Styela clava: one gene and its partner. The main gene of each other region encodes a partner of the protein of the gene in region 2 in a complex. Links are inferred from orthologs where the notes say so. Each region holds a gene or a part of one and is shown on either strand. Other genes may lie near its edges.

Region 1 (17,282 bases), on a different chromosome or scaffold from region 2:
CCGGTAGTTAATTTTTAATTTTAAGAAGAATCTAAAACAGTGGTTCTTTAATTAATGATGGGGCAGAGACAACTTTTTTGAGAGGGCGCGGCTTAAAAAGTTTGAGAACCAATGATCTGGAATATTTCTATGTGGAAAGATATAATTCTATTCAAATATGTCCATCCCCGAGTTTGGAACAGTTTTGAATAATATACCATCAAATGCAAAATAATGAGGTTTCACAATTCTCCAAGCCACACAAAATAAATTTTCAGATGTACCCAAGAATAGTCCCAATTCAGATTATCAAGGTTCAGTTGTATTTAGTTTTTGCTTCAATTTTGAATCGTTATAGAAAGAAAATGTTGAAATTTAAAGTGTTTTTTCAATCCATACCCTGTAGCAACCTCCCATAGTTTCATTGTTTTGTCTCTACTTGCTGATATCAAGTGATCCCCGTTTGGCATAAACGTAACTGATGAAACATTATGATCATGTCCTGCAATAGAAATTACAATTATGTTACATTTATTATCCCTACTACACTATCAGAAAGAATTAACCTGATATAGTGAAAGAATGTAGGATGTTATTATTTGGAAGATGTCATTTTTCTTAATAACTGATAAGTTAAATTTTTTATTTTCCATATTATGAAATTCAAGTCAATATATAACAATTCTAGAAAATCACCTAACTGAATTGTTTCGATTAAAAAAAACAAAAATATTTATTCAGGATATTTATTGAGTTGAATTTTATATATCATATTTTATATCATAAACTGCACTGTAATTTGAATTAGTTTCTGATCTACCCACAACTCAGAAAGAATATAAAAGCTTGAAGGTTGTCTTGTATCCATATAATACAAGGTTTTCCATTTGTTTATATAATATTATAATATAATCGAAATAAATTTACTTTCATATTATCATTCATAATAAGCACAAAAACCATTGCTACAATAATATTTTAATTCGAAAAGGCACAATGCTATCCATTATCGAATATACACAAACAAAAGGATTGAAAGCCCTTACTTCCAAAGCAAACTAATGGTCTAACAAGGTCAAAAAGGTTACTCTTATCTAGGAAAGACAATATTTCAATGACATCCAAGTTACTTGGCTTATTTATGCACAGGTTCTGATGATTAAAATACAAATACTAGAACCTGTGGACATGTTTATATCCAAATAGTTCAGTACTTTGAAGAGCTATATATAGCCCACGGTGACCGTACATTTGAACCCATGTGTATATCCGTGGGTTCAATCTATATGCGGGTGCTAAAACCCGTGGGTTAGGGTTAGTTTGGGTTCAAATATTCGTAAAACAAAAAAAATCCATAGGTGCAATAGTATGCCGGTGCAATTGTCGTGGGTTCAAATGTAATGGAACCCTAGCCTGCTACATAAAAAACATAACATTTTTGTTAATAACTGCAGTGCAAAACCAATAAATTTTATATAAAATAGCAATTTCATCTGTAAGAATTAATGGAAATTTTTTTGGTTTGTATTTTGTTTGAACTGAACTCCTTGGAATCCTCAGATAAACGTCAATTTTTACTTTTTAAACAATATAACTTGTTCTTCTAGAAATCCACCATTTTTAAATGTTATAAATCACAAATTATGTTACCCAACAGTATTTTCCTGATTTGGTTTGGAAAAATTCATATGTTACCTAGAAATTTCCGTAAGAATTAAATACATAAATGTGAAGTGGAAATTCAGTGAAATCAGTCCATTTGAATTGGAAACTAAAATTATTTGCCTTACAATATTCCAGAGTACCTTATAATATTTTACATAAAATTTTAACGTTTTTATTATTCTGAATTGATCTTTCATGCACAGTAATTATGATTCGAAATTGATTTTTATATATTTTCATAATTTTATTAACAAAGTCTTAATTTGAAAAATAATTTTTAAATAGGAATTATTATGAAGATCCTAAACACTGATCTTGTTTCATGCAAACAATATTCCTAACGTTAGTTGCGTCACCTTTTATTCTTTATGCAAGAAACAACTCTTTTCACATAAATAATTTAAACTAACGGTGGGAGTGTTTTCAGCAGGCATATAGTGCAGGCAAATTCTACTATAGTCTATAACACTTTCAAATGGTATCTCTTTCAAACACCAATTCACGATGTAGGTATGCATATGATTATACATTTATTAAAGGTACTACGTGGAAAAAAGATTTTCAAAGTGTAAGCATAATTTGAAGAATATCGGGGCCGGCCAAGGCTCAAATATTGAAACTATTTATAAATCTTGGATATTGATTACATAATATAGTAGTAAGTCATGTTTGGAGGAGAAAAGAAGTGGAATATATATATGACTAGACATAAGTCTGACTGCATATCTGATTTTAAATATACCATTTGCCAATTTCAATTCATGATACAATTGTTAAATTACAACACAGTATTAAAGCATTTTGTACGCCCCCTTTAATTTGAGACTATATTGTGAAAATTTCTCACAGAACAGATTAAGAGAAATCTTATTACTGACCCAAATCCGCAGTCAGTTCTGAAAATTAGTAAATCTCACTTCTCGCATTGATTCATAAATTGATTGATGTCAGTCATCAAATAATACATCAGTCGCATTGACATTATTTTATTCATGAATATTAACTGAAAGCAAGTGGCATCTAATGTATTTCTTTACGAATCTTTAATTTGGGATATTATACTAAATGTAAGAATATAATATGGTCTTTTAAAAACAGTACATAGTTTTTTTCAATGCGGCGTTTTGCGAAAAGGATTTTCGGACTTTGCCCAACTCCGTGTGTGAACTGTAACAACTTCAAATGACTTCAACTTTATAACCAATATTCAACCAAATCCTAAATGTATTTGAATACATAATTAGTTTCAAATATATCACATCATGATAGTATCTAAAAAAACTGAAAAATTTATTAACTTCCACTGATGTCTTACCATGTAAAGTTTTTGTACATTCATAAGCGTCAAAGTCCCAAATCTTGATTGTCATATCAGCAGAGCAAGATGCTAAAATACAAACAAAATGATTTGTATCAAGGTAATTTGTATTATAAGGAAGGCATGAATTTAAAAGGATGTATGTACATAAGCCAAATTTAAAAAAAAATAAAGGATTTGAAATTGCTAGTATTATAAAGCGCTAATACTAATACATACATACAGAGGAATTCTGAAACAAATGTTAGGTAGACACACACGAAAAGTCACCTCAGTAAAAAAAATTAAATTTTAATGCTTGATGAATTTCTTTATATTCATTTATATTCAAATTTTGGAAAGTTGATATGACCAACGTACAAGAATTAAAGGCTGTCAACCTCTTTTGATGTGAAATGTGAGTATTCGAGCAAGGTGGAAATAGATTACTAAAAGTAAAATCTAGATACATTGAGTCCAAATGTTGGATACAAATGATATTCCAACAGATTGTATATTTCAATTTTGATACAGTCTGAACAACGCCAACTATTGCACTCAAATAAACGTGACAAACCACTCATAGGTTTTCTAAATTGTAAATGATGTGAAGAGCAGAGCAAACCATTGTGTAAACTGACCTACTGGGGGTAAGACGATCTTTGTTTTTGGTGAATCAAGTCATATCAAAATTGATACTAACCTAAAAGTTTTCCTGAACTGTCAAAACTAACATCTTGAACAGAATCTGTGTGTCCTTTCAATGTTTTTTCAAAATCACCGTTTTCATAATCCCATACCTGAATAAATATAATCAAAAATTCAAATGAGATTGCAATAAAACTGATTGAAAATTAAGAAGGTCAACTTTACTTTTAGATTTTACTTTGATGGCATGTCAGGTGAAAATGTTGGGTTAAAAACCCATGCCCACCATCTCACCCAGAGTGTAAAATTAGAAAAGCAATGCAAAAATGGAAAGATTCTGGTCCCTCAATCTATGGTAGCTCCTTACCTAGCACATAAGAATGTATATATGAGGAAATTCAGACATCTGTTGAAATGTTAGGTATGGTAATTATAAAAACTCCTACTGATTTTGCTTAGAGAAGAAATCTGATAGAAATTATGAGAATACTTTTTTGTGGATGAAATAAATGAATTCAAAGACAAATAGTATTTGCTAAATATAACCATGAAGACAAAAATTGGAACTAAGGATATCCGAAACAAATTGAATATATTTGAAATTAGTGAGATTCAATATAATAAATACATGCGTGAGCTTAATGAATGGTTAGAAAATACATATTTAAATTTTATTTTTATTTTAGGCATTTGACATTTGATGCTCAGACGTAAATAGACTTAAACCTCCCTTCACTGGAAAACCTTTATCAATGTGAGCAGTGCTTATTCTAAATATTCTGTATAGACTGTATTACCTAATTCAATTTCAATAAATTCACACATTTCTGTAAATTTGATTTCTGCAAATTTCTCTGTTGAACATGATCCAACAATAAAGAATATATTCAAAATTCAAGAATATTATTATATATATTATTTGGGATAATAAACTATTAGATTTTGCCATTCATGATAATTCACTTTCGTTATGATTATTAAACAAGAGAATCAACTACAAAAGTAGCAATAATTTAATAATGTGCTTTTGATTTGGTTTCTGCGGGACTAACTACTCATCCTTCTTCTATGCTCAGGTATGCATATAATACTTCCTCAGCACTTGGAACGAAACGTTACAGAAATATATCTGTGATAGTAAGCAGCAAGACTTAATCACTAGAAAAAATTAAACAAATATTGAAAACTTTTAGCTGACCTTTATTGTGGTGTCCTCAGAAGCAGATACAAATACTGAATACACAGGATGAAAAACTACTCTCGTAATCGGTGTTCGATGTCCGCTTAATGAGTGACGTTCCGGTGGTCGTGGTATCCATTCTGCCGGATCTTTTCTATCTCTTGGGACAATTCCATCTCTACTTTCATTTTTTAATTCATTCAATTTGGATTCCAAATCCATGACCTGAATATAAGAACATTTTAAAGATTAAGATATTAAAATAGAACTTGAAATTATACGGCAATGAAAAAATCTGCAACATCAACACAGTATGTGATTAAATGCGGCCACAATTGCTCATCATCAAAACTATAATGAGAATTCAAAAATATTAAACAATACTAGGGATATCCAAAGCAAGATCCAAATACCAGTAGATTCGAATTTAGGATTACCGGTGATAATATTGTTCTTTGAGATATGTTTCTTTTAAGTATTGGGCAATATTATTATTAAATTAACCAATCAACACTATTTTTATCTCTATCTTTCTGTATTTTAATGTCAAATTATATGAATAATGACTTGAAAACAGTGAACTCACTGTTGTGTGGAAGATCCTATCTGATATTCCATATTGAAAATTATTTTGCTAAATAGATTCTGAATCCTAAATCATTATTTTGGTCTTTCTTGATTATTACCTTTCTCTGTAAACGAACAACAGATGTCCATTTCTTTTCCATGAGTCCTTCATATTTCTTGTCAATATTTTCAGACTATAAAAAAAAAATAGCTCATGATTCAAAGGCCAACTAGCAATACCAAATCATAATGAGATGATCCACACTGGGACTAAGAAACAAACCTATACAATCAAACAACTAATTAGATAAGACTTATCAAGTTTTGTTTACCTTTTCCAGTTCCTCTGACCCATTGGTAGCAATATTCATTACTACATTACTGCAATACTATTACTTTAAATCCATGCACTGGGACTTCAAAATTCGAATGATCATGTGGAAAACTCATGTTATCAAGGATACTTTTTAATTATCTATATTATAAAATATTGAAAATAAGAAAACTTACCAAGTTGGCTTCCATTCGGAAGGCATTGAAGGCTTTATCATACCCATTTGATCGGAGATATTCTGATATGGCATTGTTTCTGAAAATATAATTATTTGTGTAATTGAAGCGAGAGTGAATGTATCGCACAAATGTCAGAATGTTACCACAGACAGAACGTAACAAGGATTAAAAATGTTACAGCCATTTTTATGCAAATTCAAGTTTATTTATTTTAGTAGATCATTAGATCTATTATTAGATCAAAATTACTATACTGGGATTTTAAGACTAAAACAGTTGAAACGTATCGAAGCAAGAAGTACAGAAGTATGTCAGATACCGTAAAACCGGCTAACTTCGGATGCCTTGTAACTTCGGATGAAATTTTCAATCATTCATATCTCAACTAAATTTCGTCGTATTGCGCTTCTGTCGGTTTCTATAGTAAGGCCTTACATATCTGAATCTGCCGTAGCCTCCAATCGCTCGATTTGATTTTTTATCATTCAAAAAATCATATTTTACCAAAAAAATGACACCGTTTTTTCAAGCGGCTCAAATCGTGACTTCTACAGACGCTACTTTCGTCAAATCACCGCCAAGCGCTAGAGAGCGTACACAATGTATACAAAAAAATACAGTGATCACAAGGTGTCGTACGAGATTCGAGTGAAATCGATTATTTTGATTTAAAAATTACATCAAAATATCGACGTTTTGATGATTACGTACAGCGTGACGTCAACGACGCAAATCCCTTTCTCTCTCTTCGTAGCCGACGTCACTTTGCGTAGCTCGTGCGTTACTCGCTGCGACATTTGAACGCCAGACATCGCGGCAGTTTTGTGAAATTTAAAAATTATGCTTATCCATGATCCTAGTCACTATATCCTACAAAAACATCACTATCGTCTCAGTCATATGTTGTTTATTTAAAAATATGGGTATGCATACGCTTAATGCATATGAAATTTGTCGATTTTTGTTTTTGCATACTTCCTCCGACACCGATAGATACCGTATGCAATAAATTAGGAGTAGTTAGTGAAATATATACGAGTTATAATAAAGGACACAAGAATAAATAGTTAAGTTTCGCGAAGCGGCAAGAGTAACGTCACGTACAAACGTCAGTATGCAACACGCAAGACGGGTCGTGGCGGCGTAAGGACTATTCAGCGACGTTGTCACGCGTCATTGCTTACGCAGACATTTCTCTCTCACGACGAGTTGACGCAAAGAGAAAAGTGGCCATCCGAAGTTAGATAATTTTAGAATAGACGAATAAAGACAATAATTTCAATGAAAAAAGGCTTTGATGGATATGGAACCGACTTTATCAAGACGAGAATAGCCACAATGTATTATATTCCAAATTTGGCTTAAGTTGAACAACATGCGGCGGAGATATTGTTCAAAATATAGTGAAATCATCCGAAGTTAGCCGGTTTTACGGTACTTCTTTAGCCAGTTGGGTCTGTAGGTTGAAGTCCTGGATCGGAATTAATCATTTGCAATTTTTTGCAGATTTACTCAGGTTATAGAACATGAAATTTCAAGAACTTACAGCTCATCTCGTTGTCTTGATGATAAAACCATTTTCACTGCATGCCGAAAGTTGTCTCGATACTGCAGTATTTTCTTACTTTACTGGCGATCTAACTTTACAGCTTTAAAAACTATCTTTGAATATTCAATTATGATCCATACGAATTATAATTTCTACAGAATTACAATTGCCTAAAGGAATAATAAAGCTTAATCTGCAAATTCAAAATGGCAGATTCTGAGATTATTTAGCAAAACTTTGAAAAAATGTAGCAGCTTAACGCAATAGCAAAGTTTTAGATATGCAAGTTGAATCGTTTGCTCCAAACTACCAACCGTTTTGTTCCAAACATATTACTATCCATGTATGGTTATGTAAGACATATTAATTAAAAATCAAATACGATTCACTTCCAGTTTTCACTAATCCTGTAATCCGATACATTTTACCCTTTAGCCATTCAATTCAACAACCCGTGGATATAAAGATATCACAACTTACTACATCGCAGACTGTTGGGCCAACAGACTGAGATGTGATAACAATTACCAGTCACTTTGATTGAGGATATTCTGACAGCAGTTAACCAAAACTGCAAAATTGTTATTCAATGACATAAAAATGTTACGGTACTGTGTTATGGTAATGACACCAAACTGCCATATAAACTATACCAAAAAATTTCGAGTATCCGCAGTAAATGCAGCTTCAGATTTTGGCTCACTCAGCAATCTGGCAATTGTCGGATTGTTGTCAACGTTATAAACCATACGACAGATTTGTGGTAAACTAAATTATCGTTAAATTCATCTTTTGATACTAAGGTGGCATTATTGAAAATTACTTTTAGCAGTGGATGTCCTCCAGTGGTACTAAACATAATACAGGGCGTGACTCAAGCTGTCGTTGCATTATCGCACAGATACCGTACCCCAGATTAAACCGAAACAAAGCAATCTTTCCAAAAATATAGTGAAAACGACAGTCAATGTGTCACGTGACAAGTCAATCTACACGCTTGATTAAACATGACAAGGGCAATGCCATCTTGATCGGATCATGGACAATGCATGTCATGCAACATTTGAGATCGGACATGCTTCATATTCATATCAAAACTTCTAGCGGTCTTCGTTTTGTCGGCACTCGGCAGGGCGGGCAGGCTACTGAGCCCGAAAGTTTATCAGGCTTAAATTCCTGGTCAAATTAGCCGCCTTGGCGCTGTTTAGTAAGGATTCAATAATAAAAATCCTGATGTTGTTTTATTACAAAAGAAAGTCAGCCATTAGCAGTAAATTCAGTGGTGAGATTCAGCCGGTTCGCACCAACTCAGAACCGGCTGAAAAATATGACTTTTGCGATGGAACCGGCTGACAAATAACTTAAATCCCACCACTGAGTAAATTGTATTGAGGACAAAAACATTCATTCTGGGGAGGGTATATAATTTGGAGGCTATATACATGCAGTTGAAATTACACTTCAATGCACATAATGAAATGTGAAAATGAGATGAATTTTTGATTTCAGATAGCGTTCAATACAGCACCCAGCACATGGACAACATTATTGGACACGTAGTGAACATAACGATCGTTTCAATATTATGTTGTTTATGTTCTTGTTGTTATTTGACACAGAATAACACACCTAGTGGAAATATTAAAAATCCGCTTTTCTCTTCGAATACTGGACCGATTGCTTTGAAATTTTCAGTGGTTGAAGATAAAATTTTTCCCCAGAAGGCTATTACTTTTATTCATTTTAAATATACCTGTTAGCTCTGTGAGATTTTGTTTTTGTTTTCTATGACGTCATTAAACGTTCTGCGTTCATCGGACGCCATTTTGTGTCCTACTGTACTGCTTCGCTTGGTGTGAATATATTTGTAGACTGTGATCTGACGGTACGCTAGTAACGGTACACCGTACTGTACTGCGAACAGACGTGTCCATATATTTGGGCGTAGCTCTCTTGTTTGAATTGTATTTCTCTTGAATTTTAAATATATTTCCCTCCGAAAGGAAAACCTGTGTCGTGAAATAAAACCCAAATTTTTAAGACGGATATCATATTTATGAACATTATTTGAAAGTATAAAATAGTGATTAAAGGCCCTTTTGAAGATCATCTTCATGTCGACGCATAGATTTTGCATTTTTTCATTGAATACATTTCCATCCTCTGCAAAGTTTCATGCTTACAGTAAACTTTCTCTGAAAACGATATGTAGCCCACCTTAAAACTTGATTTTGTAAAACTTACTTAACTGTAATGACGAATTTTGTCGCTGACCCTTACTAAGAATTTTATATTGCAGTCGTGGGTGAAACAAACTATAATAAGGAACCGATTTAAGCGTTTTGAAATTAAAAATGCGTCCCAGCCGTTTGCGATAAATTCTTGACCAGTGGGTTAGTATGGGAATTTTAGCCTAGATTATCATCAATCCTGACACCCACTTATTTTTATACTATCCACTTGTTCAATTTTTATTTCCTAAAAAGAGCTTGAAGCGTCAACATGTTTCTTTTGTAGACATAATTAATTACCTTTAGCTAGGTCGGACTGCTTGTTTACCTTTCATTCGTCGATTGACAGAGTTAAATAAAAGAAAAATAGAATAAAAATAAAACTGCGAAGAAAGGACTCCTGATTCGGGCTGAAATGTTTGAGCCAGTACTTATGCGATAGAAAGAAAAATCTATTATCTTTGACTTGTTATTTACGAATCACCACCATGCATATTGCACTGCTGATACAAGATCTGAAAAAAGCCGCAGCGATCCGTTTTGTGTTTTCAAGTGTATGAGTGACTCGAATTATCAAGAAAACTATACTGTAGTGTATCTGAATTTACAGGTGTACATTGGTTCAAGGCGCTCACTACTGGTATACAATAGCGTGCTGATCAATTCAGTTCAGATGAAACATGAAAGTTTGTTTTTGTAAAAAGTGTACCACATGAAGTGGACACAGAAGCTCAAGATTGGATAGAATCTTATAAACCTCAATGGGTAGAATTCGACTAGCTGATAAACTCGGTGCCTTTAGTGCGGTGGTGTTCAATTGAGATATTTCGATGCTAATAAAACGGGAGTATTCTCCACTCATTTTGGCAAAGATGGACAAAAAGATACATCAAGCTAGGTTGATAAAAAAAATTTCAAGATATTTATTTTGCCATTTTAAGGGACATACAATGGGACTGGAACCACAATCCGTATATTTACCTGGTTTCGCAGAAAGTCGTAGAAAGATGGTGCCAGGACAAAAGCTTTGGACGCTTGGTTGTCAATCAACCCTTTTTCCCCAGTTCAATACTTCAGAAAGTACACAAAACAGATATTATCACGTTCTAACCCAAATCCCATTTTTCGAATTTTAGAAACGTACACTACCAAAATGCGGACGATGAGATAGGATATAAGCAGTGGTGGGATTCAATTTTTTTGTCAGCCGTTCCCTCTCAAATATCATATTTTTCAGAACAAACAGAACATTGACAGTAACCAGTAATGCTAACCGGTTCGCTGATCTCATAAAATTCCGTGAGGCGGTTCTAAGAACTGGTGCGTGCCAACTGAATCCCACCACTGGATATAAGTTGAATTATATTTCGCCCAAGAAACAAAATCAGACCGCAATCGTGCCACTAGTGTTGCAAACCGCCCTTTATTTCAACGGATAATTAAATCGCGTGACAGCGTAACTTTTATGGAAACAATATCTATAAGCGTGGAATTAATAGCACAAACCTCTGTAGTCTATATGGAATTTAACAAAATTATTTACAATGATTTGTTTGTGTTATATGATATGGACCACGATGGGGACTTTCTATGTTAGCCAAGTGAATATACCCCTTCCCATAGGTTTCAAAAGACGAACAAAATTAGTTACCTCCATATTGGTACACACACTTCTGGAGCGCCAATAAACGAATTAAATTGAATTAAAGTCAGGGACGTCGCAGCATGGTAGTAGGCTAGGTGTGGGCCACACTCGACCACAGAAATTATAATTGGGATAAAACATACTAGTCGGCGTGAAACTTTTATTGCGTTCGGTTGGCAAAAACAGGCATCTTCACCGTCATTTTGTGTGACGCTATTCTGGGTCAGTCAATTTATCAGTAGTGTTTCAATAATTGTACATTTATTTATTCAAGTTTTTTTTTACCAGGTTAAGTCTGTCAGTTGCATGCTAAGAAATCAAGTTCCCGCAATTAACTAGTAAAGTAAGTCGCAAATCAGTGGTAAATCGGTTGCCTACCGTGTTTCCCCAAAATAAGACTGGGTCTTAAATTCACTTTTTTTTTTAAATAACACTAAGGCTTATTTTCGGGGGATGTCTTATATTTGCATTCATCAAAAACGAAATTACAAAGTAGAATTACGAGATTTTCATATATACAAAATATGGAAACCGATATTCCTTTACTTATAAATAAAACGTTTTTATTCAAAATAACTGCAAAACATCGATTATTATCAATCATTCAGTTTAAAACGCGTAGAAGAGATATCGACTAGGTCAAAAAAAAAATTCGCGTTATTCACTAGGTCTTATTTTACGGGGAGGACGGTATGTTAGTCGTTGGGGAGGACTTATATTAAAATCATTTTCAAAATTCAGGCTAGGTCTTATTTTCAGGGTAGGTCTTATTTTCGGAGAAACACGGTGCATTGAATAAAAAGAAATTTTTACGACTGGTCCATTGGACGTGACAATGGGATAGCTCGCCAGAAACAGTACTGTCCCGGCTAAACCGGGACGTATGGTAAGCTTAACAAGTAAATGAGCCAAAATTTCGGGATCGTGATTATCCGGGATCTTTGCCCCACTTGCATGTTTTGGTAGGATCGCAAGGTTTTCCTTTCTCAATTTTATATATTATGGCAATTGCTATACTATATCTTACTAAGCAAAAATATATTTAGTCAACATTAATTCAGTTTTATCGCTAATGTAACCTTTACGCCTTTCATGAAAGAAAAAAACATTCCAACGACCTTTGACCAAATCTGTCGGAAGGTTTCGTTATATTTCGGTTGTATTAGTTGATGCAATCGCTATGTATTGCTGTTTGGGATCTCCCCTCGATATGACGTTCCAAACGCGGAAGTCGAATGGGTTGACCGGCTGACTAGCTTTAGCAGCTTGCGGTTGTCGATTGCGAAGTGGGTTTAGTGAATCTTTCATTTCTGACTATCAGCGGGACCGTATCAACAGACGACAACTATTACAGAAAGCAATAAGTTACCGCGTTTTATTGCACGCGAATGAACATATACAGATGTACGGTACGGTAACTATGATATACCGGTAGGCCTAGTTGCATCAGTGCATAGTCTGATACCGGTACGTAGTCCTTTAGTCCCGGAAGTCGAATGACTGAATGGCTACCGTACCGGTACCGTACGGCTAGCTTTATCTCAATGGTAAAGAAGGACCAGATGAGTCTTATTTCAGTATTCTGGTATTTCAGTACCCTATTTGTTACCGTAAAAGTGGCTACTTCGGACAGTTCCAAACTTCGGACAATAATTTTAAACGGCCATAGGGTGGTGTAGCCAGTCTGCGGACGATTTCATTCAAACCGCTATAAAACAAAAACCAATATTTCTAACCCGTTTATTTTTTCACCGTAGGTGCATGGGCATTTCTTCTACATGCTAAACCTCGAATTAACTTTCTACGACCAGGGGTTAAAGCTATACAAACCACCAAAGTGCGACACTCTAAAGACGTATTTGCGACCGAACGACCAGTGTGCAACCACGGATTTCAAGCCTTGAACATCATTTCTGCTGCGTGAGACTAGGGCATACGCAGCCATGCGTAAAAAAAATTAGCTTCTAATTGCATTTCTGACTGTCCTATATTTTAAGAACAAGGTTATTTCGAACAAAACTCGTCAAATTATAAACAAAGCACCGCATTACAGCAATCCAACAAACAAAAACGCGGTGGTCGCAAATTGGTCGACAATGCTATTATCGACGTATTGGAAATGCGCACCCCCCTACTCCCCATCCTTTAAATGTAGAAACGCGAAACTTTAAAGATGGTTAAAAGAAACAGAACTCTACCCACCCGCCAAGTTTCAACTTTTTATCTCTCATATTTGTATGGATTTTCAAGCTTTTTCAAAGGGACAATGGGCAGTTGGCGACAAGGAAAAATGGTCCGTTTTTTTTCTTCGGTCGGGTTTTCGGTCGTAACTTTTTTGTTTGTCGCCGCATTTTAGTGTAATTTCGCAGAGCTACGAAGGATAAGTGGACGAGAACGCGTGAGAAATATCGTCTCGGTTCGTTAATTTTTTCGGCCTTAATTTAATCGATGAAGTTGATGGTCGCAAGTAGGTCTTGGCCGCAAAGTGGGTAAGCCACCCTATACCAGTATACCCTAGGATAGGATTAACATATTTATCTCGGGGGAAAGGAAAGCATGGACTCGGTCTTACTACTTACGTACAGAGCACAGCGCAGAAGAGAGGGAAACATTTTTGTTTTATTAGCGTCCGTGAAATTTTAAACAATTTGATGGGAAACAGAAAACAGTAGTACTGTAGTAGGGAATGATAACGAGTTTATATCAGTAATCTTCAACATCTTTAAATAACCTGACGTGACACAATATGAGCACACCAATGAGCAAAATCAAAAAAATTTTGGAACTCCAGAAGTATGTGCACCAAGATGGCGCACAGCCTGAGCACAGTAGGTATGTGTGCCAGGTTAGGGTGCGTCATGTTGGGTTATTTAAAGATGTTGAAGATAACTGATATAAACTTGTGATCATTCCTTACCACTGTATACTGTTTCCCATCAAATTGTTTAAAATTTCAGGGAAGCAAATAGTATAAATAAGGGAAGAAAAATGTTCCCCTCTCTTCTGCGCTCTATTAAGTAAGTACTGAAGTAGAAAGACCCGCATGGACTATTCCTGATGCAGTGATGCTTAGCATGATGAGCCACACCGTCACGCCAATTTTGACTAAGAAACGTCGTATATTGTCAATTTTAATTATCATTGGTAGCGCTGTTTTATACTGATATACATCTATTCTCAATTTTTTTAATGTTGCATGGGTATTTTTTTGGTAAAAAAACGGAAATTTTGCTGAAAAAAACCGCTCAATACAGTACCGGTATCTCAGCATCTCGTTTCTGTGTTTTATTGCATGCGAGCTAAAACAGAGAAACGCTGTGAGCCCCAGTGCACTCACAGCAGGGAAGGTCAGGTGAATGTCGAGACATCTTAAAATGGGAGGACTGTGATCTGCTGTCTAAATGTCTAGCCCATCTCTTCATGCATCCAACTTGACTTGGCGATTCTGATTGGACAATTTAACCTTAGGCTGTTAGGAGAATAGCCTATAATCCGCATGGCTGCATGGTGCTATCTTTCAATGATTATTTTTTCTTAACATTAGGAGACTAGCCTATAATCCAGATAATCAGCATGGTGCTATCTTTCAATGATCATTTTTCTTTACATGTCTTCACTCCTGTTTACTAATTTCAGAATTCTGTATTCAATTTGGCATTTCTCACAATTATTCATATGGTGTGGCAAAAAAATTACTATACAGCTGTATTTCTCTGTGGTTATAGACTATATATGTGTGTGTATATTAATTCAACACTTTAATGTGAGAGAATACGGACCACTTTTTTAGACGACATCTTTCAATCAAAAATCTGTTTGTGTTAAACCTTACTAAAGTTTTTGTTTGCGCTCCTGATGCTGTAATCTATTTATTTCTATCTATTTGTTTTATCAAATATTTTATCATCTGTTATGATGACTAAATGGTGTCGAATATATATATATATATAACAAAATTACTGATTTGAGCTTTGTCAAAATACAGACAAAATCATGGTAATACAGATTTGCCAATTAAAATTTGCAGACACAGCTGAGATTGCTAAATTTTGGTCCTTGTATTCCAGCCAATTTAGCACCAAACCCTATAAAACTGCTTCATATTAAAAACAACTTCAAATATGCCATTAATCTTCTGACCTTTGTTGGCACACAGTGTCGAATTGCATTCTAATTCCACCCTTAATTTACTTCAAACAAAACACACATGGGGCTGATAAGTGTGGGATTTACGTGCTAAGAGAATATGCTAACTATACCAACAGAGCTATAAAATGTTTAAGATTGTGTCCACTTGAAGAAATTATTTTGTTTCATGCCCATTCAAACCAGTGGTTTTCAACCTGTGGTACTCATTCTAGTGTGGTACGCGGGAGCTTTTTAAGTGGTACGCGAGCAGCTTTGAATTATTGCAACAATTAACTTTTGAGTTGGCTAAAATATGGCAAAAGCAATTTCTCTTAATCTTACCGTACATACTAAATGTATTCGCTGAACGGGTTTATAGGATTGGGTTACCAGGATGCTACTATTGCTACTTGATGTATGTGTTGGATGATCAGCATAATCTTGAGTTTTTGGGGTTAAATAAATTTTGAGACTAGGTTAGGCAGTTCGTGATAGCGGCTAGTGACGACCAAAGTGTATTCGTCCGAGTTTTGCCCTAATTCGATTCGTTTTGCAGTGATTAAAGCATTTCAGCTTTAACGGTTGATGACGCAATTTTGCACGCAATTAATACGTTGTTATTGCATTCAATAAATACTTCGAAACTTGCATGAAGGTCTGTAAAAAAGTGGTGGAGCCACATAAAATACTACCATAGCGTGTTTCTTGTGCCATTGTCCCCACCACAAATGGGGTTTTGTTGGTGGTACGCAGCCAGGTTAAGAAACTCGAAAGTGGTACGCGGCCAGTAAAAGGTTGAGAACCACTGATTTAAACCAATGACTCAATTTGCCCTGAGCTCACATGACAAAAAAACAGAACGACTTTGATTTGACTGAAGTTTTGTTACAGGTCTCCAATGACTCACTTTTACTGTTTCTCATTGACTGTTCTTCATTATTTTATGATACGTTAACCTCTCATATAGCCATGTGATGATAAAATTTCCCTTGTATATTGTTACTTCATTAAGGTATATGATGAACTGTATCTCTTGTTACCTCATCTTTCTTGCCTTAGTCATCTCACCAGAGATGTCAGGCAGTAGAATGAAGCATCATTTATATTATACTGTGTTTCAACTTGTTAAAGTTATTATTTACACAATGTTTTTAATTTACAGTTTGTGTAATACTAGTCTTGTCATGGCGGACAATGAAAGTCGGTTGATTCCTTTGTTATCATTTGCAATATCTGGTAGCAATGAAAATCTACCGGGAAATGGAGATATTGATATGTTGTCAAAAGCTTATGAAACTTGTCATGAACTTATGGAACGAGATTATACTTGTGAAGTTTTGAATAATCCTGATGGTCATTTGTGTAGCACATACCCTGAGAAAATTATCATTCCAGTTAAATCATCAGAAAAGGTTGGAAAGTTATCAGAATATGTACTGAAAGGACGTTTTGCAAGAACGAGGGGGAGGTTTGTTGTTCCTGTGCTTTTACTTGACGGAAAATATATTTGCCGATCTTCGACTCTTGCTAGGTCACCGGAAATATATTGTAGGCAAAGTTATGGGTATTGGGTAAAAGGAGAATCTATGGACATGGACACTGTTGAAAAAGGTGCAAATGAGGAAAAGGCTGTTATTGAAGAAAATCATTTTGAATGTTTGTCTGACAATGGCCTGTATACCAATGGTGTTAATAATGTCTCAGAAAGTCATTCTAATTCTCAAATAATTGATGATTCACCTTCGGAAGATGGTAAGAGCAAAGAATGGCTTCTTGATAAAATGAGAAATGCTGACATTCAGCTTCTTCGTTATCTCGACGTTGACACAATTTTTGATTTAATGGTTGAGAATAAGAAAGTTAAATTTGGTATGAATGTA
Region 2 (17,255 bases):
GCAATTCGGAAATAGGTGAAATATGCTTCAGAAGGTACAAAATTTAAACTTTAAAACAAGAAACTCACGTCAAATTGTTACATAGCATGCAATGTTTGATATATTTTAATTATAAAAAATAGTGCCGATCTATTGATTGAAGCCAAATTACTTGCATTATCGTGCGGAATTTCATAATGTGGAACAGTGAAAAGGCGACCATGTAAATGCTTTGGAATAGTTGTGCTGAGAAAGCATTAAATCATGTATGGCCAAAGCATGTTCATTGGTTGACTAAAATATTGCGTGCATATATTGGCCACTAAACTCAATACACCCTGGCTAAGTTAGTTTTATTCTTAAGAAGTTAAGACACACTAGATTCTCAGGTACGGAGAAGTATGGACCTCAACGTTGAAGCACGATCCATCCGTGGGTAATACTTGGTTATTTATAAATGAATAAGTATTCGTTAACTGCGTAGTAAAGTAATGTTGTGCGTCTTATTTATCAGGCGTTGTCATCTGCTGTAGGATAGTTGAACGACCCCGCAAGGCCCACAAGCAGCTGCGCGAAATTCTTCAATAAATATGAATGCACTTCTGTCCCAAGGGAGACGATATTTCAAATGCAAACTTAGGAAGAGTGTGCGTACGTTGGTAAAACGCATCGAAGTTGCGAGACGAAAAAGAGATCGGAATGGCAATGATATTTGTTTAGACTGGAAAGGGCGTTCAACGACCAAAAGAAAAATATACTTGGTATAAGAGAATTCAAAAATATAGGGACTGCGACGGAACAAAGTACTTACTATGCAATATCTGCTATTTTTACTTACGTTTTTTGGAATCGATTTAACTGTCAGAAGTCAGTTTGTGTGAATTATCAAATCTGGCATTACTGGTAGATATAATGAGCTTCTGAAGAGCGATTTTCCCGGGTATAATGCTTGTATATATGTACTAAACTCATGTCATTTCGATAAAACGATTGATACGCAGTTCATTTGTCAGGTAAAACGATATAGTGAGTTGAGTTCTTGATTTTCTGTAAACTTTTCTCGGGTCACGTAGAGTCTACGAACTGACCGCAGCAGACTAAATGTTCAGTTTTTCTGCACTAAACGGACTGTTCCTTCGAGATTTTCATAACACTCCAAAATTAAATATATAGTCGCTTCAACTTCGTTTCTGACATTTTTACGGACTGTACTAATGATAGTTTGGGTTCCAGGTTAGACGGTTAGTGCTTTTTTGTGTTCTTTATGCAGATGCGACACGAAATGTATGCAATGAAAAAGCGTTGTATATAAATAATAATACAAATTGTATTGATCTTTGTATTATTCTTGAATTATGTATGTTTACTGTTATTCGGTTAGTAGAAGCATCTCGTAATATTCGTTATTACTACGGGTATCCCGGTAGACTACCGGCACCGCAACCTTTACGACTTCGCCTGATCACCGAATCGCGAATGCGGTACCGCTACAAGGTGCGCATTTTTTCATTTTAATAACGTCACCGCACACGAAAGAACGAATTCGCAGAAATATTTTAAATATATAAAGGTGATAGTCTTCTAGCGAAAAATACAATCTTTGACCACCCAAAAATTCAAAGCGATTGGGACAGTAGTCGATGAGAAAAGCTTCTTTTTCATAGCATCAAGATCAAGAATACAAAATGACACTTTCTCCAAATTCTTAAATAACAGGAAGCAATTGATTGTTAAGTAAGCGCATAAAAACTTGGCATGCTGCTCACTATATGAACGTTTGTATTAAAGCCAGGCATATATATACTCTGTATATTTTGGAAATACCTCAGTGTTATCGAAAAATATCTGAGCCAAGATGGTGAAACTGCCTGTGATATGAATCTGACAACAAGTTGCAAAAATATTCAAAATTGTCCACTATCTATTACTACTTCATTATGATAATACATTTAAGTCATTACGCCCAGTTTAATTGCTATTTTTTGCACTGTGATTGATGGAAAATCAATAGCATTTATCATTAGCCTATAGTAGACTACATAAACATATGCGTGTTTTATTTAGTCGATTTTGCATGCTAAGTGATGATTTTTAATAATATTTCGATCACTGGCGATAGTTTGTTAGTTACCTGACATATACATTGTGGTAATAGGTAAGCTGTAAAATTTTGACGTATGGAATTTTTTTTAGTTATAAATGACGACCGCGTGCATATTGGTTTTTAAGATGGCCTTACACGATTTGAATATATACAGTAGCTTAGGTACGTACATCAGAAATATAGGAAAATTAGACATATTCTTCAGTAGTCAATGCTTATTATTGTGGATTTTAAGTCTCAGACAAAAAAAACGTTGAATCTGGTGGTCTGGTATTGCAGTTGCATAAACGCCAATAATTCTGTCAGTGTCGCTACAGAAATACGTGATATAAAACTATTGTAACAGCCCACTTCAGGAATGTCTATGTTTTTTTGATTATCCTATAAATATAATATTAACGAATAGCCAGCAATTGTATAGCCAGCTATCAAAGTCACAATTTTATGTTTAAGATCAATGCCTCTCGGAATTTGAATTTTACTTCGAAATACAGTAATATTAAAATGTAATTTTTACGTCATATTCAATGCTGCCATTTAAGTCATATTATGATGGCATAGTAAATGGTTCGAAGTCGCCCGCTATATTATCTTTGATCGCTGTTTTCGGTTAATGAGAAAAAAGCCCTTTACAAAAGAAAAATTAAAAATATAAATTTAAGATTTAAATCGGTGTTATTTAGTTATATGTGGCTTAGAATAAACATTTCACGCAAAAATATTTTTGCTCCAAATTCACTATTTATGTTATTTTATTGTTGCAAGTTTTATTAATCATAGGACATTATAAAAACAAAATATACAACTGCATATTGTACGCGCTTAATTACTTTCCTCTCAGACCTTTCAGAATATGGTTTGGCAAAAATGTACTCTATTGTTTGTGAACAAAGTGTAAAGCACAACTAATACTAAAACACATCGATTTGATCAATTAATTTAAAGCACGTTTCCCCAGTACGTTGTGGAATTTTGATTTCTTTCGATTAAGTAACGTCTTAAAAATTATGTATACATAAATTCCTGATCGGCCAAATTTATTCTAACGGTAATTGAAACGATTTATTTTGGGAAAAATATATTAATTAGATCATCAAACTAAGGTTGTGGCGCCAATAAACTAATGGAAAGTTCTGACATCCATCAGCGTTACGATCTTGAATATAGCAGTAGGAAATGTCATATGCCAGGGATTTAAAAGCAATCTCTGCTATTGTCTTCTAATTAGAATAATTTTGTGTGCTTATCGATTCCTCAAATAGACTTCAGGGATTGTGCTTGACTTGAATCCATTACTCAAAATAAATTGCATTTCAAAACAAATTGTTTATTTTGTTGTTTTCGCAGGTATAATGCCCGAACCTAATTAGCACAATAGAGATTAGTTTGTTCGTAGCCTATTTTCTCTAATCACACTGCTCCCGGGAGGTCGCCAGTGTGAGTTATGCGTGTGCTGAGGTCTCGGTAATTTTTCACAACAGCGCTTATAATTTGGTCGTACAGAATGAATAGGAAAGCCCTCATCGAAGTAGGTGAAGACGAGCAGGAACGCCGTTTACAGCTAAACAAGCTTTCACTTGTCGAACTGACCGTTCAAGATGAGTCGCGACATGGACAATACGTTATGGCTATCATTGGCAAGATCCGTGTAGCAAATGTAGGATTTGAAAAATTCGTATTTGCTCGTGTTACATTCAACAATTGGGCCTCATTTCGAGACTACAGTGGATCATATATAGAAAGTAGTCCAGACGGTACAGGTGACATCTTCGCCTTTGGATTCACTCGTCGTGATAAAACGTAAGAATGAAATTTGATATAAATGCAGATAAATATTTAACCTATTAGCTTCGATACCACTATTGTTTTGTAAAACAGACTCATGTTGCTATGACAATTACTACATAATTCATAGCATCAATTTAACATTGAACATTCTTCGAGTCCAAATAAAAGTTCTGGTTCCGGTTTGTATGCTCAATTAGGGTTCTAAAAGTAATCCGACACACATCCTTATTATGTTCAGCCGCTTATATGTGATTCGTGGATTTTCTCGGCAATCAATCTCCAAACCTCAACAAAAGTTGTTCATATATGTTGCAGTGTCGCATATTTCTGGCTGTAGTGTGGCTATATATAGCTCTGAAGCTGGTAGCTTTGTGGTGGGCCATGTAGTATTAAGCTTGCCTTTAGCCGGTTTTTCTCTCGTTCTCATTGTATTTTTATATGCAGTGATGTCTATAATATACCTCGAGCTGTTATAACTTCAATATACAGTATATCGATTATCCAAATACCTAAACTAATGTCAGTGTTTTTTTTTGACAAAGATAATGGCATTTCTACCCTTTTACGTTTCGTCGGAAGTTTATATATGTATTTATTAACACTGAAGGCGAAATGGAAATTTAGAAAAAATGGATTATAACGCCATCGGGTGATAAAGCAGTATCTGTTATAAAAAGATGAAAATGTCGTCAGTTTTCTCGTTTGACTTTGAAAACACATGGTACTTATGTGCCTTTTTATTTTAACATTTAAATGTCTCTCTCAACACCAAGCAATAAAATATATGTATCTAATGGAAGCTACATAATAGTTGTGTATGCATATAGATTTGTCACATCAAGATTAAGAATTTATGAGGTCGTTCTAGTAGTTCAAAGCTCATGTCAATCTGAACAATCTACATCAAAGAAATGTTATAAAACTAAATCAGCAGTCAAGATAGCGTAATCGTATTTACAATGTTATGATGTTATAACTAAATATAGTATTCCAACATATTAGCTTAATTTCTTCATGCACAAGTATAGTAAGTCTTTAGTTTTGCTTTCACCTAACCGATGCAGCCTAAATTCTTTTGTGTTTATGAAAATTATTTTCCATCTCTTATTTCAGGCCAGTCAACGTTGAATTTGCATTATCGGGCTCATTGGAAGGAAAAGAGTATTGGGAAAATAACAACGGTAAAAATTACTGTTTTCACTTAAGTGAAGATCCTCTTAATGACATAGCAACTGGAAAATCCGAACCGGGCGTTGTAACGACCTGGCGAGTAGCAGAAGGAAGTTCTCCAGATAAACAAGAGGAAATTGTCTTTGATACATCTAGTTATCCACATTTTGAAGCTCACCCCTTAACGCCAACCAAACTCAGTTATTATACGACGTTGCATCGGGCGCCAGAAGAAGAAGTTGTTCCCAGCAAAGCGCCTGATACAAAACATATCCGTGCCTTCAATGCATTGGCAATTGGAGAGTTGTGCGAAGTTGAAGACAAACCCAGCAATCCAGATGATGGAGCTATCGAGGCGACAACTGCTACTTTTGCGGAAACGGGTGTTTGCATGACCGGCGAAGAAACGCAAGATGGAATCGAAGTTCAAGCAACGGAACCGACACAAGATCAACAAACAGTTGAAGATCCCATTGAACCGATTAAAATCACCAAACCGATAGACGACGAATCGCCTGATGACGTTTTTGATAAATTAGAAAATCCGAAAGAAGAAATGCGAGTTGACCTTCAAATCATTGAGGAACCTGGTGACGGAAACAGGCCAGATGGTGAGAGAAAAGATACCGACTTGACGGCAAACGATGCTGCGGGTCAACAACTAACAGAACAAGACCCTGGTAAGAAAAAAGACAAAAAACAAACAAAGGATGAAAAAAAGAAAAAGAAAGAGGCGAAGAAGCAGGAGAAGAGCGACAAAAAGGAAAAGAAGTAAGTGTAGTATTCAGACTATTTTCCTTTGTTATGTCGAGCTAAAACATTTTTCGCGGTAATCGTAACGTATTATAAATAAATACGCCCATGGATAATTTCACGCGATCTGGTAGAGGCTACTTTTGCTAGGAACAAAATTGATACAAAGCTTATATATATACAGCATAGCCAGTTAATATGTAAATGCGATAATAACCATGCCTCTTAGAAATAAAACCCAGATTTATTTTTTCTGCTAACAATTGGATAGCCAGAATCTCGCATTTGGTTTTATGAAAGTTTTGATTAATATCTCAGAAAATCTAAAAAGAGCAAAGCTCCTCCAGTACCCCAAACTCAACAAAACGAAGATCAAAAACCAGATTCTGATACACAAGAACAGAAAAATGGAAAGGATAAAAAACCATCTCCTGATCTCCAAAATGGCGACGACCAATCAGTTTCAAGTAAAAAAGAAAAAATAGGTAAATCCCTTTGGATTGAATTTTTCCGATATTCTAATTGTACGAATAATGAGTTCAGTTTTATCGGGACCAACAAATTACCCTTGTTTAATATTTACGAGCTCAATATAACTTTTTACAAAATGTCACTTCATTGAGACCATTATTTCTATTGATCGACTCAAATTCCACACAAAATGACGTATTATCATCAATAATATGCGAAGTAAAATATGCAAATAGCATGTTACTTTTAAATGAATATTGTCCATTGAACTATAGAACTGGTTTACTGTAATAAAAATACGTTACAGAAGCACGTTTGAGAATGACGAGACGTAACTTTTCGACTAATTTTGCGGGACAAGCGTCATGGTAGATGCTTTCATTTGTTTTATATTTTTCCAGGAGACGAAGATTCCCCAAAGAAGCCAAAGAAAGGTTTTCTTACGAAAATGGCGTGCTGTGGAAAGGCCGAACCAGACTGATCTCGTCTGATGTGGTTGACCTATTACTTTGTTTTATGAAGAGTAAAACCTATAACTTTTTGTTTTATCTATGTCAGTATTACGGGTCATCGTTTTTGGCACTTGATGTACTAACTACTAATGCACATTTTCATAGCACTTCGTTTTGGCAAAAAAAGGAATTTTTATTTATATCGAGTGTTTGGTTGGGAATTTGGGGTAAGTTATATGGCAACGGAAGAGTTTTAGGATAACCTCAGATGATAGCAGAATTATTGAATTTATTTATGTGGATAGGAAATACAGTGTAAGAGAGTTCAGATGCCAGTGGCGTTCAAACTTTAAAAAGTTTTTTTCTTGGGTCGATTTGTGCGATTTCCCCTTTTTTAGCGTTGCGCGAAGCCTGATTGAACTAGGCTACTTCGAAGTGGTGATTCAGTTTGATAGGTGAGAGCACACTGTGTACTTTAATGATATAAATCATTATCTCTCTCTCTCATTCTTTTTAACCTATTCGGTTTGAAATGATTATAGAGGTTGTGTTTGGTTGTACCATAGTTCTTTACAGCTTACTTATCTCAAAATATCCCTATTTTGAGCAATGTATGATTCTCTGATCAAAAATATCTGACTGCACCAAGATGGCGCACATCCTGAACATAGTTTGTTTACCAGGTTAGGGTTCAGGTTGTGCGCCATCTCGGTGCACATACTTCGGGAGTGCCCTAAAGTCTATATAGTGTAGTGTAGAATCTACACAAACACAATATTAAATAAATATGGTTCAAATCTAAACACCTAAATAGCAAACTGGCAAACACTGAGAAGAAGTTCAAATTCGAACTTATTGGAATAAGCAGACATGTTTGTTTGCACACTTATGACAAAGTTGAAACCGAGAAACAAAACCTTAAGATTGGTTATTTACCACTATTAACTAGGCTTACCATACGTCCCGGTTTAGCCGGGACAGTCCCGGATTTGACATGCTGTCCCGGCCGGTTGACTCAAATGTCCCGGTTTGTCAGCACGGTTTTCATGGGTAAAAAATTCAAATTCATTATTATTACAAATTTTTTTTTTAACGGTGACAGCCCATTTACCACTGTTTTGCGACACACTTTGCTAGTTCAGAGAGAGAAATCGCTCTATTGTTATGTCACAATTAGCATATGTTTTAATGCGTTTTCTGGCGTTAACTGCAATGTCGTTAAGTTGTCGAAATGCCAAAAAGAAAGTACAAGTTTTCTGATGAGTTGAAGAAAGATTTTCCTTATTTGAAGCAAACTAAAGGAGGAAAGGTACACTGTACGCATTGCAGATTTGTTTTTCTATTAGTCATGGCGGACATTCAGATGTCAACAATCATATCCAAAGCAGGAAGCACAAAACATTGAGGCATCGACTCGACTGACCAATTTTGCGATAACAAATATTAGGATGATTCTGTGTCGTTGGCAGCCGACATTTACCTATCACACTGCTATTCATGACCAAAGTTTTGACTGCACCTCTAAATTAATTTCAAATTTTTTTGGGGCTAAATTTGCATTAACAAATATACACAGTTAGAATTTTTGATGTCCGCTGTCTGATAAGCGGATTCGCTGATTTTGCACGTTTAGCCAGAAATAAATGAGAGTTGGTGCATTGCTCCGCTGTTCTCCTCTGAATTTAATGATGATTTACTTCAAGCTCGAATGGCAACAAAACGCAGAAAAGTTGAAGCTAAGTGCAAAGGGTTCAAGCTGAAAATATTCAAATGGAATTTTTTGAGATGCAATGAGGAAATAAATCTATATTCTATTCGAGAGATGTATCACTGCATGATTTTTAATATAAAAAGTATCATCCGTTCAGTTTCAACTTTCTAAAAATATGTGCGGCCCGCCAATGACTCGCAACCCTTAATTTTGGCCCTCGGGCGACAAAAGGTTGCCGACCCCTGCCGTAGATGTTGCAAATATTCTGTCAGAGGTGAAGCTAAATTTGCAGGGAAAAAATTTGTATTTAAAAAGAATGTTTGCGATTTTTAAAAGAAATGTCTATCGTATATAGAGCTGCACGATGAAGCCTACAATGCTGCCAGGCCACACATATGGACAAATTTGAAGAGTGAAATAAACTGGACTGTTTGTGTTTGGTCTGCAAAATTGATAAATGATATGATTGGTTAGCTGATCAGGTTTTGAATAGCGATGCACTTTTCGACGAATACTGATAAAGAGATATTTATCTGAGCGTGGTTCAAATGCAATTTGACTTACTTTGCCGGTTGAAATTAAGTAGACAGAGATGTTTAACGTTTTTTTTAACAGAAATATTAGCATTTCGAATTTGCAGCAAATTGGTTGATTTTGTTTTTCGGAACATCTGTTAAAAGGATATTTTCCATTGTTAAAAAATTTTGGTCCGAAAGCAGGTGCAGAATGCCAGAAGAAAATATAAAACCACTCCGTAACCTGCAAATTTAATGGTGATGTCTCTTGTTATCAGTTTTATGACAAAATCAAAACAAGAATTTTTGAGAAAGGTTCCATCTGCGGACAAATACTTTTGGTCTAAATGAATAATACAAACTAATTTTTTGTGTTTTTTCTAATTCAATGATCAGTAGAGATTTACAGCCGTATATACCCGCAATGGCATGGTAGACGTTCCAATATTATCAAGACTGGCAATCGACCGAATGTTTGCCAAATCGCACCGTCCCGGTTTTTTGTTTCAGATTTATGGTAAGCCTACTATTAACTAATCTACTCAACATACAAATGCCTGTGCAATTATATTTCAAAACACGGGCATGATATAGCACAATTATTTATCTTGACTGAAACTGACTACAATAAAGGCATTGTAATGCACGTCATCAACATAATAGTGTTGGGCATGAATAAAAGCGAAAAACAGGAAAATTGTACACATTTTCTGAGCCATTCAGTCTGTATAGGTCAGGACAACATAAAGCTTGAAAGTATTTGCATCATTTTGTAAAGATTATTTGGCGATATATTTCCAAACGACTTGCTACATTTTCTATTGTATAATTTCATAGGTTCTAATATTACCGTCAAAAACAGAATATTAAACACGCACTGCCTGTTCTCCGATGTTAAAAACACGCAGTGTGCTAGTGAACGTGAGAATTATTTTGAATGGAAAATAAGCAAATTTAACAGACAATTAAAATATTTAAATATCTTGTGCTTAATTAATGTACTTTAAAGAAAAAAGTATAAGCTGACAGAATATCTTAAAGATGATAAGGCAAAACACAAAATGATTTAATTGCAATATTTATACAAGAACCCAGTTGCAAAAATACTCGAAGAATACTCGGCGGTATGGCGGTATCTCGAGGGGGATAATTATATGCGAGAGAATTGATGGACTCCTTGCCGCTGATGATTAAATCGTCTAATCGGCTTCCTCCGCCGCCCGGGATAAATATGTGAATCCTAAACCTAAACTCTCTCTCTTCCTGTGTTTTGAAATTCGAGTCAGTTTTGAGCAGTCAGTGAATGTATCAACTTTAGTGGTTCTCCTCGCCGTCTCATTTTCAAATAAAAGTACAAATAGGTAATGCGTTAGTCGATAAATCTTCATAATGTTTTGAAAACAAATCTTATATTTAATTATTCAAGTCGAGCCTTTGTGATCTGTCTCCATCATAACGAAGAAATTTTAACTGAATCAGATTTAACCGGATATCTTATTACAGACTCGTCAAAATCATCAATTTGATTCATACTTTTGGCCGCTGAATCTTTTGGAGACGGGATTTTGCAAAGAAAACTACCGTATTACTGTGTTATTGGGAAATAGGGTTCGAGTTGGGCGCTATTTTTGTCCCCTTTGAGCGCGAAATTTGTCAGCAAATGCCTCTCAGATGTGAGATACCGTCACGCAATCCAACTGGGTTTTAGCCTTCTCGAAAGACGACTGCGCCAGTCAAGACAATTCAATAACGAATACCGGTACCGCTACTGGATTAATGCTTCCCAGTTTTAGCTGCACATGCTACCGGTACTCAGCTATTCTTGTAGCATATTGCTGTATTGTATGAACGAGTAGAACATGGATTTATCAGATGATGTCCAACTTATCATCGATAGACTCACACATGATTTAGAAGAAGCACAACAAGAAAAAATTCAGGTAGGTTTATTTTTATATCTGATTCTGGGATTACCGTACAGTATTATGTTTGATCAACTGTACTGCTGTACTGTTGGCAACTGTACAAAGAATTGAAAAAAAAATTGCGGGATTTTTACATCATCCTGCGTTATTGATTAGTCAATTCCAACCGAATAATTTAGTTTTTTGATCAAGAATTTGAATATGTATTTAAATTATTCGCATAGGCCTATCTGCATATTCCACATTTCTAATCTAATGGTTAGTGGATATGCAGACTTGGAAACAAATGAAATATAAAAATTAGAAACAGTTAACATCCTACGGTAAACGTGGAAATGATGGACAACAGAAGAATATGATTCGAATATCACAGACCACTTTCGAACTATGACTTGACATTGTTGTAGGAATCATGCTGACGAGTTGTCACACCAAGAAATAAGTATCGATAAATGGTCTGGCATTTTTACTAAACTCTATTACCTACCTCTTACACCAGTCAGTACAGCACACTATCCAAATTCCAAGAATTTCCCTCCATTTGGTTAGATAAAACAAACACTCTATGTATCTCACAAACGAGGGGCGTCTGGACCATGTCAGATGCTTCATATCGCGCCATGCTTGTCTCAATAATAATCTTAATTTATCGCGGCCGTCACATGACCAAAATTGCCGTTTTTTGCTAAAAACTCTCGAATGATACGGTAAAAAAAATTTCGGTAAATTGGTTGATTTTTTTCCAAGAAATTCAATGATGACGATATTAGATTGCATTTTTTTGTAGTATTTTGCGCAATTTTATTGCACTGTATTATTACCGATATTGAGGGACAACAATGTCCAGATGTCTCCCAAAGGAGGGGTGTCTGATCATCTGTAAAATGGGTTTCTCTGGGACGGGACAATATCACCCAATTTGTATAGTGTGCCGTACTGCCAGTATTTTTTCGATTCCAAGTTCTGAAGATGTCCCGACATTTGATTCAATAAAACAAACAGTCTTTTATCTCTGACACCGTTTTCACCTCACACACTACTTGGCAGTTGTTTACCTCAATCAAATTGTCGGTTTGCTTCGAATGTGGCTGGTGTCCCAAATCCCAAACACAGTCCAATCCACTTCAAAGTAAACAGTCGTGAATTGTGACCCACCGTGTTTATTCATATTTTTTTTCAATAAATGTTTGTGTGTACAATGCGGCCAAACTGGCGCAAATATTACTATGTGTTTTAAACCTATTGCAGGTTTTGCTAGTTACCCCGATTTCCCAATCTTGTGGTTGTTCATTATTTTTGTTTTGTATATGTTTTTTGCGAGGAAATATATATAAACTCATCATCATTCCTGGAGCCCTATAACCGTAGAATTTCAGATTTTATTAACATATCATTGACAATATTTTAATTTCACAACACTCCATTTCTGTATTTACATTGTACTGTTTACCATTGCCACACTATCCTGCTTTTTCAAAATTGACTAGTTCATTTCTGTGAAGATATACTGGGCTAGGCTCTTGCACTTACTCCATGGTTTTCGAATCCTAATCAGATATGCTTCAGATAAAAAAAACTTTATTGAACTTTAAAGGTTTGCGAAGCAAATATTCACAAAATAAAAACTTGAGATATGAACATAACTACGGTGAAGTAATATTTTAAAATAAAGCCATATTAAGAAACCACAGATTGATAACTCTGTATTGGAGTATTGTTTATTTTTAAGTTTTATTTGCTTGAATTCTTATTTTTAATATTTCAGGCGGCTGAATATGGATTACAAGTCCTCGATGAGAAGCAAAAACTACAACAAAGATACGATGAATTAGAGGTTATGTTAGATTCTACTCAGAGAGAACTTGATGCATCAAAGAATGAATTTGAACTCAGCAAACGGGTATGAACTATCATAAGTAGACTACTTTTGAATTTTATATTAATGAAAAAACATACTAATACAGTAATTACGTTTTCAACTTTTTGAGTTAGGAATCAATTGTCTGTTTTTAAAACTATGCTTTGTACTTTTTTAATTCAGAAATAGTTTTTATGCAGTGAAACATTGTTAGAACTTGCTTTATCAATTTTTACATTATGAAATTATTTTGCAATACCAATTCTGACATTATGAAATGAAGAATATATATAAATTTTAAGTCTGTTCTACAAATATTTTTGAATATAACATGGGCCTAATTTTGTTGTCAATTTTGTTGATCAAAATCAGAAGCTTACAGATTGAGCCAATTCCAACTTATGCCTTTAATCAAGTAGTATTAAACGCTATTGAATATATCAATGCAATTCAATTATACTATTAGTTTGGGCCGTATACTATCTAGTGGGACATTTTTAGTCTTTTTGTAACACCTTCAAAGATTCATTCAAGTTTGTCAGAAGGCATTTTCAGGTTCACTTATATAGGATATACTGTATCTTTCTTTTTGACAGTATTTATGATGGAATTTTTTATTTGGAAGTTTAGGAATGTAAAACATTCAATCAGTATTTATTTATGTCGCATATAAGTGCAGCAAATTTGTGTAGCATAAATAAGTCCTGCATTCTATTTTTTAATTAAGCTTACTCTCAAAATTTAAGTTTGTATCAAGTCCCCATTACATTTTGATCTCTGTGACCCGAGTATTGAAGTAATTTGAAATCAACAATTTCCTGAAGTTGAGCTATACATCGTTTCTTTTTCCCTAAATTTATTAAATCAAATCAAATGTTTATTTATAATTTTTTGATAGTCTATAAACTTTTAAAATCCATATTTTTGAACTTGCCAATGTTTCTAAATAATTCTCATGAAATGGCGTTGTGGCGCATTATGCTAAGTGTTAGGAATAGAGGCTACCGCACCTCTGATTACCCTGCGTGGGTTCACAAGTTCGAATCCCACAAGATTTCCTCTCCCCTGGGATAAATATGGGAATCTTATTCTATCCTAAATGCTTAATATGACATTGGGTAAAAAGGGGACAAATCATATATTGCAATGAAGTTTTGTAAATAATTTTGATTAAAAAATATTAACTTCTTGTTTTAAAAATATTCTATTTGATCTAAAAGCTTCATTCAGTTATTTTAAACTTCAAATCACCGTGGCCATAGTATACTGTAGAAAATATGGAACTCTGTATCTGGTGAATGAAATATTTCTAGTAGGCCTACTACTAACTTATAACTATTAATAATTGCATTATGGGGGAAATAAGGACTATTTGTCATATTCTAATCCCATGGGGGTCTTAGTCATATTCTAATTTTATTCGTATCGAGTTTCTCTTGTTTTGGCCCTGGCAAAGTATCTAATTTACCAGATATCCTTTTGACATTGTCAACAGCTAAATGAAAATTTGACAATATGATGATAGATCTTCATAATTCAATAGAATAGATATTTATTTTTTATTAGGCTCTTGAAAACAGCCAACATCAAAATAAAAGAGTATTTCATGATGGCGAAACTCGCGAACAAACATTATTACAACAAAAAGAACAAACAGAAGAAACTCTGATTTCCACAATACAGGTGTTTATTCTTTACTATAAAAGTTATAACTGACTCTTAGTACTAGTCTTTAGTTCTTAGAGTTCTTGTCCACTATGGATTCACATCTCAAGCAATTGTTTTATTGTTCATCTCAGTACTGTAAATGTTTTTATTAGGTCTACAATGATTTAAAAATAAAAGACCGTAGACTGCCAATATAATGATGGCTTATTCCTGCATTTTTGACTCTGTGATATATATTTTCTGTGGTACTCTCGAAGTGTGTGTACCAGGTTAGGGTTAGGCCATAATTTTATTCCAATTTTTCTTATTTTAGTTCTATAACGAGTTCGGGGACTGTCTGTTTTAGTCAAGTGAATATACCCCCTGCCCATAGGTTTCAGTCCCTGTACACAACTTGATGTAAAGTAGGCAAACAAAAATAGTTAATTTACAAATGCTCATTACGTTTTGAGACAAATAAAATGAATATATATCATATATATATATTTGTATTTTTAAAAGTCAAAATTTTGTAATAGCTTCTAAAATTGATATTGATTTACTATATAGGATCTTGAATCTGAGTTGATTCAAACGAAACAAACCTTGAAGAATGTGTCAGCAGAAGTTGATGGATTATCTGCAACGAACGGTGAACTTGCAACGGTGAGAATTTTTCCTCTTCACAGCTTTAATATAATCCTTATAATAGTAAATATATAGCGCATGCGCATCTATGGACATTTTATGTAAAATTAAACTGGCAGTTGAATATTGTCAGACTTTCTTGAATTTTTCTACCAAAGGTAAGGTGTCAAAACCATGGCACCCTGATTCAATTCTGCCATTTTACGTTACTTAATAAAAAAAAGTATCACATCATGCACAATTTTGTATGATCATGCTTGAACCACCTCCATCTTGTCCGCCAATCTTTTCTACAAAGCAAGTTTTGGATTCCAAACCCTTACCTGTACTAATGGATGGCCTTAGTGGTCTTAACGTTACCGTTAATGACGTTAATTACTGCAGCGGAGGAATTAATTATCGATTTAAATTTGAATCTTTTTTATGATCAGATAACGAACTTATGTGTAAATCGCATGTTTCATTGGTTTCATCATTGAACTCTCGTGTGCATGTATTTGAGCATTGCTCTCTTATTTTGTATAGTACTATATGCCTCGAACCTCAAACTGGAATTGTATCCTAACTCAGAAGTTTTTTGTAAATGTTTAAGACTGATATTTTCATTTCAGTCTTATCAAACGCTTGAGAAACAGAAGAGTGCAATTAAAAGAGAATTAAAGGAAACAAGAGTCCGAGAGTCAAGGTTATTGAATGATTACACTGAACTTGAAGAGGAAAATTGTAATTTACAAAAACAGGTTCGTGCTGTCACTCTTCTTATTGATTTTACTATAATATGATGAGTTAGGAAAGTTATGACTATTGCTGGTTAATTCAAATTAAAGTCTTTGTGTTTGACATCGTAGACAGTTGTTTTCAACCAAGGTTCGACGACACCCTAGGGTTCCACAAGTTTACATACCAGTAGATATTTCTCAAATATAATTGAATACACTGGTATAATAAAGTATGTTTTTACTGGTGTGTTTGAAAGACCGTCGGCCGTTCTATGTCAAATTGTTGTTTCACATTTTTTAACGTATTTTATGATAGCTTGCATAATCAATAAGAGATTGAGATTCCGGAATGTTTCTTAGATTTTCCGTTCCACCAAAAGGGTTAAAAACCTCTAAGCTCTTAACTCCCAAAATTGTACTGCGGCCTGTGATTGGGCAAAATAATCATGTGAACTGCGAAAGAAGACTTGTTAGTTACTTTATTTGTAGTTTGTAATTCTACTTTGATTTTCTAAGAAGGTAGGCTATTGTAGTCTGTCTTTCAATTATTACAATTAGTATATGAAAAAATAGTTGGAGGCAGTTATGGAAAGAATATCCTTATACTTACTCTATAATGTACCCCCTGAAAAGTTCTGTACCCCTGATAGTACATGTAGTCTACTCCAGTTTGGGAATCCCTGCAACAAAATATATCTAGCATACAAGGCTAAAACTTGAAATTTGTTAGTTTACAATGTTGTATTTCACTTGCTATTTGATATTGCTTCGTAGCATTATTTTATAGCTATAGTTAAATGTCAAATTGTTAAACATTCAATTTAAAGGCAGTAATATTTTGATAAGCATTAGAAAACTTTCGATTTATGTAGGTAGAAAATATCATGTAAAGCCCAACAATTTAATATAGTCTTATTATCTCACAATACTCACTATGGTATTATTATCATAATTACGTTGTCATAAAATTTCCTTTTATTTTGTGGGATTTATGATAACTTTATTATAGGCGTATTGATCATAATTATCTAATTGATGAGGTAGTTGGCGTAATTATTTCAATCTAATTAGTAACAATTATACATTACACAATTGGAATTTTTTTTCAAATTATTAACCTACCAAGCATGGGCTGTATTTGGATTGTGCTATTGAGACACGATCCAGCTACGGCCCATGCTTGATAAAGAACTATTTCTGTTGAAGTTAAAAAGTAAAATACTCATTTTGAATTTTTTATCACCAAATTATTATTCTATCGGGCATGGGCTGTAGTTGGATCGTGCCGATGAGGCACGATCCAACTACAGCCATGCTTGATAAAAGACCATTATTGTTGAAGTAAAATCGTTTATTTATAATATTTTTATTCTAGGTTTCGGCATTGCGACAATCACAAGCGGAATACGAAGGTTTTCAACATGAAATCAAGCGACTTGAAGAAGAAGCAGAATTTTTAAACAGGTTGATAATAAAAGTTGGAATTCAAGCCTTATTGCTATTTCTCTCTTAGAT

What was found.
Region 1: protein bicaudal D homolog 1-like (region 2) and platelet-activating factor acetylhydrolase IB subunit beta-like share a complex: the UniProt entries of both Caenorhabditis elegans proteins name them as parts of the dynein-regulating complex. The link is inferred for Styela clava from reciprocal best matches to the Caenorhabditis elegans genes bicd-1 and lis-1.

Annotation. Positions count from the first base shown.
Region 1 is NC_135250.1:20,620,589-20,637,870, reverse strand, and holds the start of platelet-activating factor acetylhydrolase IB subunit beta-like, read right to left. Parts: upstream 7,610-17,282; 5' UTR 7,428-7,609; coding exon 7,396-7,427; intron 5,926-7,395; coding exon 5,847-5,925; intron 5,531-5,846; coding exon 5,456-5,530; intron 4,995-5,455; coding exon 4,788-4,994; intron 3,742-4,787; coding exon 3,645-3,741; intron 3,032-3,644; coding exon 2,960-3,031; intron 482-2,959; coding exon 379-481; intron 1-378. Other genes in the region: phosphatidylinositol-3,5-bisphosphate 3-phosphatase MTMR14-like, read left to right, coding at 16,377-17,282. UniProt on the Caenorhabditis elegans protein: Positively regulates the activity of the minus-end directed microtubule motor protein dynein. May enhance dynein-mediated microtubule sliding by targeting dynein to the microtubule plus end.
Region 2 is NC_135256.1:9,838,448-9,855,702, reverse strand, and holds the start of protein bicaudal D homolog 1-like, read left to right. Parts: upstream 1-10,374; 5' UTR 10,375-10,802; coding exon 10,803-10,883; intron 10,884-12,633; coding exon 12,634-12,768; intron 12,769-14,292; coding exon 14,293-14,409; intron 14,410-14,943; coding exon 14,944-15,039; intron 15,040-15,632; coding exon 15,633-15,761; intron 15,762-17,115; coding exon 17,116-17,204; intron 17,205-17,255. Other genes in the region: uncharacterized protein LOC120328503, read left to right, coding at 3,588-3,883, 4,985-5,812, 6,113-6,279, 6,667-6,746. UniProt on the Caenorhabditis elegans protein: Part of a complex with dlc-1 and egal-1, which is recruited to the nuclear envelope by unc-83, where in turn, it recruits dynein to the nuclear surface and regulates nuclear migration in hypodermal precursor cells.